3 linked regions of the Tamandua tetradactyla genome follow. The protein of the gene in region 2 purifies or fractionates together with the protein of the main gene of each other region. This does not show direct contact. Links are inferred from orthologs where the notes say so. Each region holds a gene or a part of one and is shown on either strand. Other genes may lie near its edges.

Region 1 (3,748 bases), on a different chromosome or scaffold from region 2:
TCCTTCGCTACTGGCTTCCCGCAATATGCCATGCGTTTCCTCCTCAGGATACTTGCAGTTTTAATTTGGGGGCAAGGTAGTGTATATTAGTATATGCCCAGTTTACCCGACTGCCGGATGTTCGAATGGACTAAGTATAGATTTAGAAATCTCATAAGCCAATATTTTGGCTGAAGATATTCTTATCCAAAGTGAGAATACTGCCTACCTCTTAAACCTGGAGTCTAGGGTAAAATCAAATTTGTAGAATCAATATGACTTCTCTTCCAAATTAACCCAGACCAAGGCAGACTAAACAGTGGAACTGCAGAGGGAAAAAGCTGCAGCCCCAGGGTTCTTGATTCTGCCTCACCTCAGAAGAGAGAAAGGCAGTACAGACTCAAGAGAGATTGTTAAATTGCTCCTTAACCACATAACTCCATAAACACAGCTAGAGAGAGCAATTATTTACCTCATGTGTTTCTAAAAACTTTTGCTTTTTTTTTTTTTCTTGTTTGAAATGAACGGTATTCTTTTCAGGCAAAAATTTGGAAAAGACCGGTAAATAATTTGCATTTTCTCATTTAGAGTAAAATGTCAGACCGGTACAAATAAATTAGGAAATCATGAGGGAAAAATGGAAAGGTTTTAAGAAATTACGTCTCCAATAAGTCAACAAGTATACAAGCCAATGTACTTGTACTCAGAGAGTACTTCTTAATTCCTGTCAAAAATGTTAGTTTAGGGCGGACCACGGTGGCTCAGCAGGCAAGAATGCATGCCAGAGGACCCGGGTTCGATTCCTGGTGCCTGCCCATGCAAAAAAAAAAAAAAAGTTAGCTTAAATATAAGCGCAGGCGATGCGCCCTAGACTAGAAATCAAGATGGCGGAGGAAGAGGCTTCCCGGCGCTACCCACGCACAGGAGCTTTGAGGGAACAGCGAGAACTGGCAGAGACATCGTACTCAAAGCCTCAGAAAAAACAATTAAAGGGCTCCATTACCAGGGAGAGCACTAAATTAAAACAACTTAGAAGCTTTATAAATTTCGGAGCAGGCTGACTGGACCGACCCCCACCCCCTGACCCCTGAGAAATTGGAAAAGAACTACGGGACATCAGGAAAATGGTAGACGAGCACAGAGGATATCAATAGAGGGATACAAATTACTAAAAGGAACCAAAGAATTCTATATCCAGCAAAACTGTCTTTCAAAAATGAGAGGGAGATTAAGACAGTCCCTGAAAAACAAAAGCTGAGGGAGTTCATCCGGTAGCTCCGTCCTACCGGAGACTCGAGAAACGGACGGAAGCCTCGGAAGAAATAAAGGTCACTGGTGAGGTAAGGACATGGGCAAATATAAATGTGTTTTTGATTTGTAACTCTTATTTTTTACTTCCTACAGAATCTAAAGGGCAAAGGCATAAAACATAACGATAAATCAGTGGTTTAGGACTCGTAATGAATAAATATGTAATTTGTGACTGGCGCTATCTAGAGGTGGGGGTGGGGTGCAGAGGGGGTTAGGAGCACAGTTTGTCTAACCTGTTGAGGTTGATATCAAAGCAAATGAGATTGTTACAGATTTATGATGTTAAATTCATGTCTCATGGTTACTAAGGAAACAATATGAAAGCAAGTAGAGGAGGGTTGCCAGGGGTGGGTGGCGGGGGAATGGGGAGTTAATGTCTAATGGGTGTGGTTTCTGTTTGGAGAGATGAGACAGTTTTAATAATGGAAGGCGGTGAGGGTAATGCATCATTGTGAATGTAATCCATTCCTTGGAATGGTACGCTTGGAAGTGGTTGAGATAGAAAAGTTTGTGTTGTGGATATGTGCCTATAATTTTTTTTTTTTTTTGAGAGCAGCTAAAGAGACAGTGGCAATTAAATGCAATATATGATCCTGAATGGGATTTTTTTTAGTTTTCTTGGCTGCTCAGTGGGTAGGCTTAAAAAATAGGAATTTATGAACTCAGGGTTTGAGGACTGGAAAATATCCAGATCAAGTCATCATCAAGGCCAGGCTTTCTCCTTGACCACTGTGGTGTTCTGGGGCTGGCTGCTGGAGATCCCTGGTCTTTGGCTTTTCACATGGCAAGGCACGTGACTTCGTCACCAAGTCTTTCCTTTCTCCTCTGTGTTCCATTGATATTCAGACTCTGGCTGCCCCCTCTTTGGCTTTCCATCTGTCAGAGTTTCATTCTGCTTATTAAGGACTCCAGTAAAAAGATTAAGACCCATCCTGATTGAGTTGGGTCACTTCCAATGGGTTTATAAGTTTAACAACATGTTTTCTGGGATACACAGCTCCAAATAACCACAGGATCTAGCATGGGAGAAAAGGATCAAAAGAATATTTATCAGGCAGGTGAAAAAAAATGTAAGCCTTATATCAGTGTTAAATTTCTTGAACTTGGTAACTGCACATAAGGTGGTTACATAAGTGAATATTCTTATTCTTAGGAAATGTGCATGGCGGTATTAAGTGTTCAAGGAGTGTGACTTATACAACCTACACCTAAGTGTTTAGAAATCGGATTGATAGATATATATACACGGATAGATAGATGGGTAGAGAGAATGATATGGCAAATGTGGCAAAATGTTTAAATAAGGGTATCTGGGTGTCTGGAGGATTATGGGTATGGTGAAGTTTTCCATATAGGATTTGTATTATTTTTTGTAAGGTCCTTTTTTTTTTTTTTGCAATTTTGAAAGTATTTAAAAATTAAAAGTTCTAAAAACATACGTAAATAAAAATAGGGGATGTTTCTGGAAAAAAAATTTTAATTTTATTTTTGAAAAGAAAAAACCCATTGTTACAAAGGGATAATGCAAAAGGATACCTTATGTATCCTGTGGGAAGCAATACCTTGTAAATTAAACACAATTTTGAAATATTCAAATTTTAATACTAATTCTATTTTTAATCCATTATGATTTGAGACCTGAAGTGAAAATATTTAATAGTCAATTATTTTCCCCTAACTTTTTATTAAAGTCTAAGGTAGAAAACTTAGAGGAGAGTAGTGTTCATCCAGCAATGATAAGAGGAAGAAGGTTGGTTGAAGAGCATCCTATGTGTCTTCATTTCACCTTTCTCCACAGGGGACATATTTGCCCTAGAGGTCTCCAGAGGAAATACAGACTCATTTTCCCATCTGACTGATGTCCCAGAAAATTGCCATTCTTATCAGATTCTATGTAAGATCTGCACTATAAGAACCAAACTAAGAATTTTTAGCCGTTCAGGAGGCTCTCAAGTGTAATGCTGTGAACACTTTGGTGAGACAGAACAGCTTACTGGTGGCAGGCATAGAGCAGGGACTGTGTCCCAGGTCCAGGTTCTCTCCTTGCCTTCCTTAGTAGAAACGTAGACATATGCTACTTATCCCAGGCATGTCTCAGTTTCTTCCTCTGGAAAAAGTGTGAGAATTATAGTTACTTACCTGTTAGGGATTTTATAACATTTATTAATGTCTCAAAACTCTGTAAATAAAAATAAATTCTGCACAGATGTTAATTACTTTTATTCAAAGAACAGCCTCACAGCTATTCTATTGCCAGATGCAATAGAAGGTGGTGAACAGGTTTCCAACCTTTCTCATGGAGGTCAGATAGCAATTAGTAAGAAGAATAGTCGAGAAAAATGAAGCAGTTAACCAAGATCTTAAAATGAAGGCATTATTTAATAGAGCTGAAGGAAGCAGGCATCTACTGGAAATGAATGTGGCATGACGGAAAATAATTGGAAAATTGAATCGTCTA
Region 2 (3,748 bases):
CCCACAAGTGGCTCTTTCCTGACTCAGTGGCTGCCCATGGGTTTCCCAATGAGTGGTTGCCAAGGGTGCCTTGCTCAGCCCTTCTCAGGCCTCAAAGCATGAAGGATCCAAACCAAGTTCCCTCTGGTGCCATGGGGGCACTGCTGGCTTGCCAGCTTTGGGGAAGAGAGTGGAGAAGGGGAGCAGTGCTAAGAGAAACAGGTGGATAAAGAGGGATGATGGGGAGGGGCAAGGAGTAAACCCCAGCTGGTAGCCCCCACACTCACCTCTGCTTCCTGCCTCTTCCAGCAGAGGACAGGTGGGGGTGGGTGTGGTGGGGTGATCTGGGGCTCAGGGTGCTGGCTGTAGCTTGGGCCTCGAGAGGGTGTGGCGCAGGTAGCTCAGGAAACGGACAGCCAGGTGGGCCCAGAGTAAGAGCTGCAGCCACACCTGGAAGGTGGTCTCCGAATCCCCACCCTGGCCACTGCCTGACCCCAGATCCATCCCAGGCCACCCTGGGCTCTCCCTGGAATCCTCCCTTTGCAGGGAAGTCAGGAAAATCAGTGCCTTGGAGCCTGCTTCCTTGGGAGGGCCTCCGGGACCGCAGAGGAGGCGCTGGTTGCCACGGAAGCATTTAAAGGTACCTGCTCCTGCTGCCCAGGGCTGGCGGAGGCCCTCTTTGGCAGAAGGCGGAGGGGACACTCTCCCGAGGGTGTTCCTCCTGGCCCGACAACCCCACAGCGGGCTGCTAAAGCTACCTTCCTGTTCCAGGGACTTCGTAGTTCCCGAGATGCCAGGCCCTGCCTTCCTCAGTGGATGTGGGTCTGCTCAGAAGATGGCAAATGAAGTACCCAGGGTGGTACTCCCTGGGCAGAGGGGAAGGAGTTAAGGCCCAGGCAGTAGTCAGAGATTCCCTGGGGGCTCAAGAGGCTCCAGAGCTCCGTTAATTAGCCAAGAGAACAGCTGGAAAGAAATGGGGGTGGGGGGAGCACGAGCTACCCCTATCTCGTCCCCTGAGTTCCCTTCAAACTGGAACCCCCGAATCATCCTATTCTGAGAGAGTAATGGGTACATCTGGCTCTTTGTCTCGATCCCATGCGGGGGCGGAGAGGGGAGGGCATCCTGGGATGTCCTTGGCCTCTGTCAAACCTTGCCCAGTGCTTGGCTCTGCTCTCGGCCATGAGAGTCCAAACCGGAAACGAAAGGCTAAACCCAGGCGTGGGGGAGGGGGAGGCAGCCTTGACTATCTTTCCTCCTTCCCTCCAGATCCCAAAGAAGCAGGGGGGTCGGTGGCACCCGGGGTCCCTGCTGGCAAGAGGAAGTGACAGAGAAAGGGACAGACGGCTGGTTTCCTCCACACGGGGCTGCGAGCCTCGTCTGCATTCAGCTTGGGTGCACAGAGAAAACCCCATGTACCCCTCAAAAAACCAGGGCCATGGACGAAGACAGAAACCTAGAAAGTCACCCTGCAAATGGGAGACTAGAACAGCAGAACGCCAAAACGGGCCAGGGGCTTAGCGGTTCCTTCAGAAGGAGCCCAGCCCCAGAGCCCCCAGGCAACAATCTCAGGTCCCGCCATCCTCCAAAACCCTGGCTGTCCTAGGAGTTCCAGGGCTTGGGAACTCCAGTCTGGGCCTGGCCCCCTACTCTGGGATGGCTGATATCTCCAGTCTAACCAAGAATCCATGAACTAGGCCCCCATTCTGGACTGAATCATTTCCCATCCAGTGCTGGACCCCAAAGTTGAACTGGACCAACCCCTATTCTTAGGTGAACCCCAACCCTGGCCGGACTAGCCCCTATTTCAGACAAACCCCAACAATGGGCTGGACCCCCATTCTGGGAGGATCATCCCCCCTTGTCTGAACAGGACCATGCATACCCCGCGTTCTGCCCCAGGTCCCCCTGGTCCGGGGCTGTTAGTAAGCAGGGGTTTCCGGGGCCAGCCAGAGGACCACAGAGTCTTCCTCAACTCTGGCTACCCAGACCCTACCGCTACCCCTCCCTGACTTGGGGGACAGGGAGTGCCCGGAAAGTTGCTATAGCAACAGGGCACAGCCTCACCATCGCTGGAGTTGGAAGCCATCACTCAGTCTCCCTCTCAAGGCACCCGGGCTACGGTGGCTGGGAGGGCTCATGAGACCTGCTGCACCAGCTAGGCGGCCCATCCCAGAACCCTGCCCATAGGGGGAGCCAGGGAGTCATGGGGTGGGGGACAGGAAGAGAAACTTAACCTGGAGGCCAGAGGGTGCAGTGGGTGCAGGGGAAAGGCACATGGGCCCTGCACATGCGATTGGGATAAGGGAGGGGTTGCCTCGGTAGGACCCTCTTGGGCACCCATACAACTGCCAATACATGGGAGGTGTTTTGCCCTCATGGGCATCTGTAGGAAGTATGAGGACAGCAGTTCTTTCCATCCAGGGACCTGCCCTGGGCCTGGGTTCTCCCCCTCACCAGCTCTGCCCCTTCCCCTGTGGGCCGGCTCCCAGGGGTGTCTTCAGCCAGTGCCAGTCCTGAGACCTAAGTCCCACTTGGCTGCCTGTCCATAGGGCCTCCTGGGGCCGCTGCCCTCTCTTAATTCCCTCGGTGTGGCCAGAGCCAGGGGGCCTGGTCTTTTTTTGCCTGTCCTCTCAGTTTCTTATCCAGCCCCTGCCAATGGCTTTGGGCATCTCTGGGTGCAGCCCCCAGGCTCGTTCTAGATCCCCGCGGTCTTGGGAGGAGGCAGATCTGGTCCTGCTCTGGCACGAAGGCAGCACAGTGAGCTTCAGGATGCTGCACTGGTACCCTGTAAGACTTGGGCATTTGCCTCACCCCAGTGGGGTTGATGTGCAGCAGATGAAATTCAGGTGCCTCCCACAGGTGGGACCTGGCCACTGCCCCTTACCTCACTCTAGTAACAAGAGGGCAAATGCTAGTCTGATTTCATCCTCTCAGATTCAGAACTTTGAAGCAAAGGGGGGCTTTCTTCATCCTATTTCCTTGACTGGGAGCCCCTGTGAGCCTCCAGGAGGAAGTAAAACTTAGGGCATCTCCCAACCATCCCAATGGCAGCAGGTGAAATGATTTTAGGGGAGACATATATCTCATTTTTCGAGCTCCATATGTATTTGAATGTGTATTGGAGAAAACATAACTGGCATGGCAATTTCATTTTATATTACTGCTTAGGACAGGGTCAAATTTTACATGTGAACCAAAGTGAGTTCAAGTTTTATTTTAAATTAAGAAAATACGAACGAACAGAGCAAGATCAGGGAGATGGCCAAGAATGTCTGTGTTGGGTAATTTTGGGGTCCAGGAAGTTTGCTGGTAGGCAGATCTGGATGTAAATCCCACCTCTCTGACATCATCTTTGTCAAACTCAGTGAGCTCATTTGGGAAATTCAGGTAACAGCCGCTTGTTGTGAAAAACGACACGAGAAGAAAGAACTCGGAAACTGTTTTGCCTGGCACATCCCAGATGCCCAACAAGCAGGAGCTCTTTTTTGTCATGACTGCCCATTCCTGGGTATCCGGCCTGCACTCCGAAGGAATTAACAGTTCCTTCTGGAGCCTCTGATCTTTTTCTTGGGGATCCTTTTCCCTGTGTCTTTCCACCCCTCACCCACTGCACGTGTCTGGTATACCCTGAAGGTTTTCCAGGACTATGTCATCTCCCCAACTTTCAACCGGACCACTGTAATATATAGCTGCTGGCCTCCACCTTCCATCTCCCGGCTGGCCTCACCTGCTAGGGGCCCAGCACCACCCCCCTCCCTAGTCCCCTCCA
Region 3 (3,748 bases), on a different chromosome or scaffold from region 2:
TAAATAAGGGGAATTGAGTCCCTAACTGATTCCTATTCTAGGCTGATTGTCCTACCTAGAATGAGATTTTAGGAGAGTTTAGATTGAGAGGAAAGGCAGGATTTGGCATATGGGAAATTTAAATAAGACCCAAGGAAGAACAAAAAAAGATGGTATTCTGAAAGAAAAAAAAAAGAATTCAAGAGCTAATTATATTAAAGAAGGAAAGGAAATGGGGCAGAGAGACAATTATAAATAGAGAAGTTCAGCGGGAAGGTGAGGGACCTTTAACTTCACGTGGGAACTGGAAAGCCAGGGCCAGGTCAACCAGGAAAGAAAAAGTCTGACTAAAGCAGCAATCTGGAGCCTGTGGAGCAAGAGGAAGACTGTGATGAAAAAGAAACTCCAAGCTTGAGGTGAGCACACTGGAAACAAACCATTAGCTGGGGGACTAAGAAAGAATGGGAGAAAGGTCTGAAGAGGTAAACTTACAAATCCTGTATGCTGTTCCACTGTTATTGAGTACCCAAGCGCTAAGCCTGGGAGAAATATGATATATATTAGATTATAGATGTAAGACTGTAAGATAAAGGTTACTGCCCTGGCAAGCAATCAAGGTACACTTCAACCCTGCACAGTGGGATTACTAGGCCTATGTTCAATGTCTTGTAAAGGACGGTCAAAGAAAATGACAATGAGGAATGAGAATGGAACTTGCCCAGTGTCTGCTCTGTCTACCCACGCCTGCTCATGTCTTCTGGTTGATATTCCACACCTACCACAAACAGTACCTTGAGAAATCTGGCAGCCATATTACTCTCAGGGCTTTCCCTTAGGGCACTGTGTTCTTTATAAATTGTCTGGGAAAAAAATAGCTTGGTGCCAACCTGCAATCCCATCAAATGTCACCGGATAATGCTAGAGACCACAATAATCATGACAGAAAAAGATAATATCTATGCGCAAGGCTCTGTTCAAAGCACTGTACATGTATCCACTTATTCAATTTTTGCAAAAATCATAAGCAATATTTATTTTAATTATTCCCATTTTCCAGATGGGGAAAGTAGTACAGAAAAATTAACATTATTTGGCAACATGCCAAAGAACTCAAACCCAGACAATAGGACTCCAGAGGTGAGTTCTTAATCTTGGCACTAGTCACTTAAATTTGTACATACCTTACAATTTACACAGCCCTTTAGAAGAGATACAAATATTATCTGAGCCTCTCAACAACACTTAAAAGTAGATAAGGAATATTTTTGTCTCCACTGTACAAAAAAAGAAACTGAGGCACAAAGACATGAAATTATTGGTATATGGAATCAACACTAGTAGCAGGCAAGGCAGAACCTGAAATCCAGGGCTGTTCACTTCTCAAATGCCACACCATCTCTCACTTTTGCTTTACCAGCCTCGTTGGTGGGGTCTAAATTGCATCTAGACAATCAGATATGCAGAAGGATAAGGGCTGCATCTAGGGTTAATTCTGTTTGACATGAAGGACTTTAATACCTAAAAACATGACATTATCTCCAGGCTGAAATATGATTTCATACAGCTTCAGTGTCAGTGAGTATCCGTGGGAAGGGAAAAGGAGGAAGAGAAACTGACCAGCTATCTAATAACTGGCTTCAAAAACGACCCTTTCTTGGAGTGGCTGGCTGTCGCCTGTCAGAGTGGCCCTGCTGCCGCAGCAGCTTGGGAGGGTGAGTGGAAAGCAAGGGAGGGATGCAAAAGCAGAGGAGAGAGGAACCAGAACCCGGCCCTTTATTGTGTCTTTTCTGGATAACGCCTCTCTTGCCTTCTGCCCTCCTACCTCCACCCCTCCCGTGCCTTGTCTACAGTGCCAAACATTGTAATTCAATCCCTGGCAGCCATTCATACATTTTAGTCTTTTTTCTCAATTACCCTAACAGCAAATCAATTATTTTGAGTCTTCTTATGGTGTCTACTGTCCAGAGCATTGCAGACTTGACTCATATTACCCCCAACTCATCATTCTTCCATTACACTCTCACAACGAACCACATTTGCTTCCGATCCGCAGTAACCGACCCCCCCCACCCCCACCTTTTTAAACTGCAGTCCAATAACGCTGACATGGTTAGGAATCGGAAGTAATGGCTATTGCGGCCAACTCCCTGAGAAGCAGAAGCTTGGGGCAGAGATGGGGAAGCCCAGGACATGCCTCCCTCCTTAACAGCACCCCCACCCCCCACGCCCTATTCCAAGGCCCTGCTGACCAAAGGGCAATGGCACAAAACCACACATCCTGGGTCTCCTACCCCTGGTTTCCTGCCGCGGTAGCTGCTGCTATAGAAACACCAGGCGTACACATTGGACTGAAATTAAACACCCATCCGGGACTGGAACCAGAGCTGGATCGGCCTGCTGCCTCGGTCACTATGGCAACATACAGAGTGGAGGGCCCCATCAGCTTGCGCAGCACAGGGGATACTCACTCCATCGCGGGGCTCCGGGCCGCCCGGACGCGCTGCTGCGGAGCTCACCGGCGCTGCTCGCCTCTGCCGGAGTGGAGCGCTCTGGCCTCGCCACGCGCGAGGTGAAGCCGACAGCCGTCTCCCCTCCTCGCTCACACCCCCTCCCCCTGAGGGTTGAAAGTGAATGCTCAGGCTCTCTCAGCTCCCAGCCTGCGAATAAAACGGTAAGCAATTGGATAATGTTGTTCGCTGGGCGCTAGACGAGCCACTCCAATTAAGTGTTTCGGGGGAGCGGGCGAGCTGGTAGCTGCGCGCCGGACGATTTGGCCACCAGTGCGCAGTGCCCCGGCGCCGGAGGCGCCAGGTGCGCCCGCGGTTCCCCTAGGACCGATGGTGCTGCACAGAGATGGGTGGGGTAGGAGGAGGGGTGGGAGGGCGGTGAGAGGTGGGGAGAGAAGACGGGGCCAGCTGCGGTGGGTGGCACAGCCCAAAGCAGTAGGGAAACGATTGAGTCATTGGTAAGGCTGCAGCTCTAGTTGCTTGTAAGTTGCAAGAGAAGGAAGCGTCTGGGCTCTGCAAATAGTAAGCACTGCCCCCAGTGGTCTGGGCATGGGCTCGGAAACGCCATTGTGCCAGCCCAGCGGGCATCTGTCTGAGTTTCCCAAGGAAAACTCCAGCTACGCTGCAGCGAATTAACACAGTTTCACCACCTTGACGACCCTACAGGCCTTTCTCGTTAGCACTCCATCTTCTGCGTATTCCTGTCCGCCAGGAAGATGTGGCCCAGCGTTACTTTACCTAGTTTGTTTTATGAAAACAATTGGTATATTGAATATGCTTTTCAAATTACCACGGTCCCACCCCCAAAGTAATCAGCCCCCTGGGACATGTATTCCCTCCATACACCGGGTCTCTGAGAACCCGCTACACCTAATGGCTTCTAGAGGGGGAATCTGCTTCCCATCCAAGTGCCCTTTATCGAGGCAGGGAAGAGTAGATGGGACAAGCCTTTCAACGTATACTTACTTACTGGCCCCTCTGGGGTAGGTGTCTGCTAGCTAGGTGGGTGCTCAGGATGCAGCTGGTGTCCTGTGCATGGTCATCATAGTGCCCACTCTCCTGGAGCTCACAAGCTAAAAAGGAAAGACAATACACAGTTAAAGAGAAAAATCAACATACCATCACAAATGGAAAAACAATGCTATAAAAATTTAGTAATAAAATGCTGTGGTGTTATAAAATTGTTTTGTAATGATGGTTGCACAATTCCCTGAATATACTAAAAACCACTGAATTGCACACTTTGGGTGAATTTATGGTAT

What was found.
Region 1: the proteins of PRKACA (region 2) and MAP2 purify together in Homo sapiens (affinity purification with mass spectrometry; 3 studies listed by BioGRID and IntAct, with this or other methods). This does not show direct contact. The link is inferred for Tamandua tetradactyla from reciprocal best matches to the Homo sapiens genes PRKACA and MAP2.
Region 3: the proteins of PRKACA (region 2) and PALM2AKAP2 purify together in Homo sapiens (affinity purification with mass spectrometry; 5 studies listed by BioGRID and IntAct, with this or other methods). This does not show direct contact. The link is inferred for Tamandua tetradactyla from reciprocal best matches to the Homo sapiens genes PRKACA and PALM2AKAP2.

What each region holds. Positions count from the first base shown.
Region 1 is NC_135329.1:184,749,263-184,753,010, forward strand, and holds the start of MAP2 (microtubule-associated protein 2), read left to right. Parts: upstream 1-863; 5' UTR 864-1,319; intron 1,320-3,748. UniProt on the Homo sapiens protein: The exact function of MAP2 is unknown but MAPs may stabilize the microtubules against depolymerization. They also seem to have a stiffening effect on microtubules.
Region 2 is NC_135337.1:88,739,637-88,743,384, reverse strand, and holds the start of PRKACA (cAMP-dependent protein kinase catalytic subunit alpha), read right to left. Parts: upstream 2,284-3,748; 5' UTR 2,269-2,283; coding exon 2,214-2,268; intron 2,147-2,213; exon of another isoform or gene 2,066-2,146; coding exon of another isoform or gene 2,044-2,065; intron 802-2,043; exon of another isoform or gene 484-801; coding exon of another isoform or gene 331-483; exon of another isoform or gene 267-330; intron 1-266. Other genes in the region: SMIM46 (small integral membrane protein 46), read right to left, coding at 331-483.
Region 3 is NC_135328.1:28,593,127-28,596,874, reverse strand, and holds the start of PALM2AKAP2 (A-kinase anchor protein 2), read right to left. Parts: upstream 2,339-3,748; 5' UTR 2,324-2,338; coding exon 2,271-2,323; intron 1-2,270. UniProt on the Homo sapiens protein: Binds to regulatory subunit (RII) of protein kinase A. May be involved in establishing polarity in signaling systems or in integrating PKA-RII isoforms with downstream effectors to capture, amplify and focus diffuse, trans-cellular signals carried by cAMP.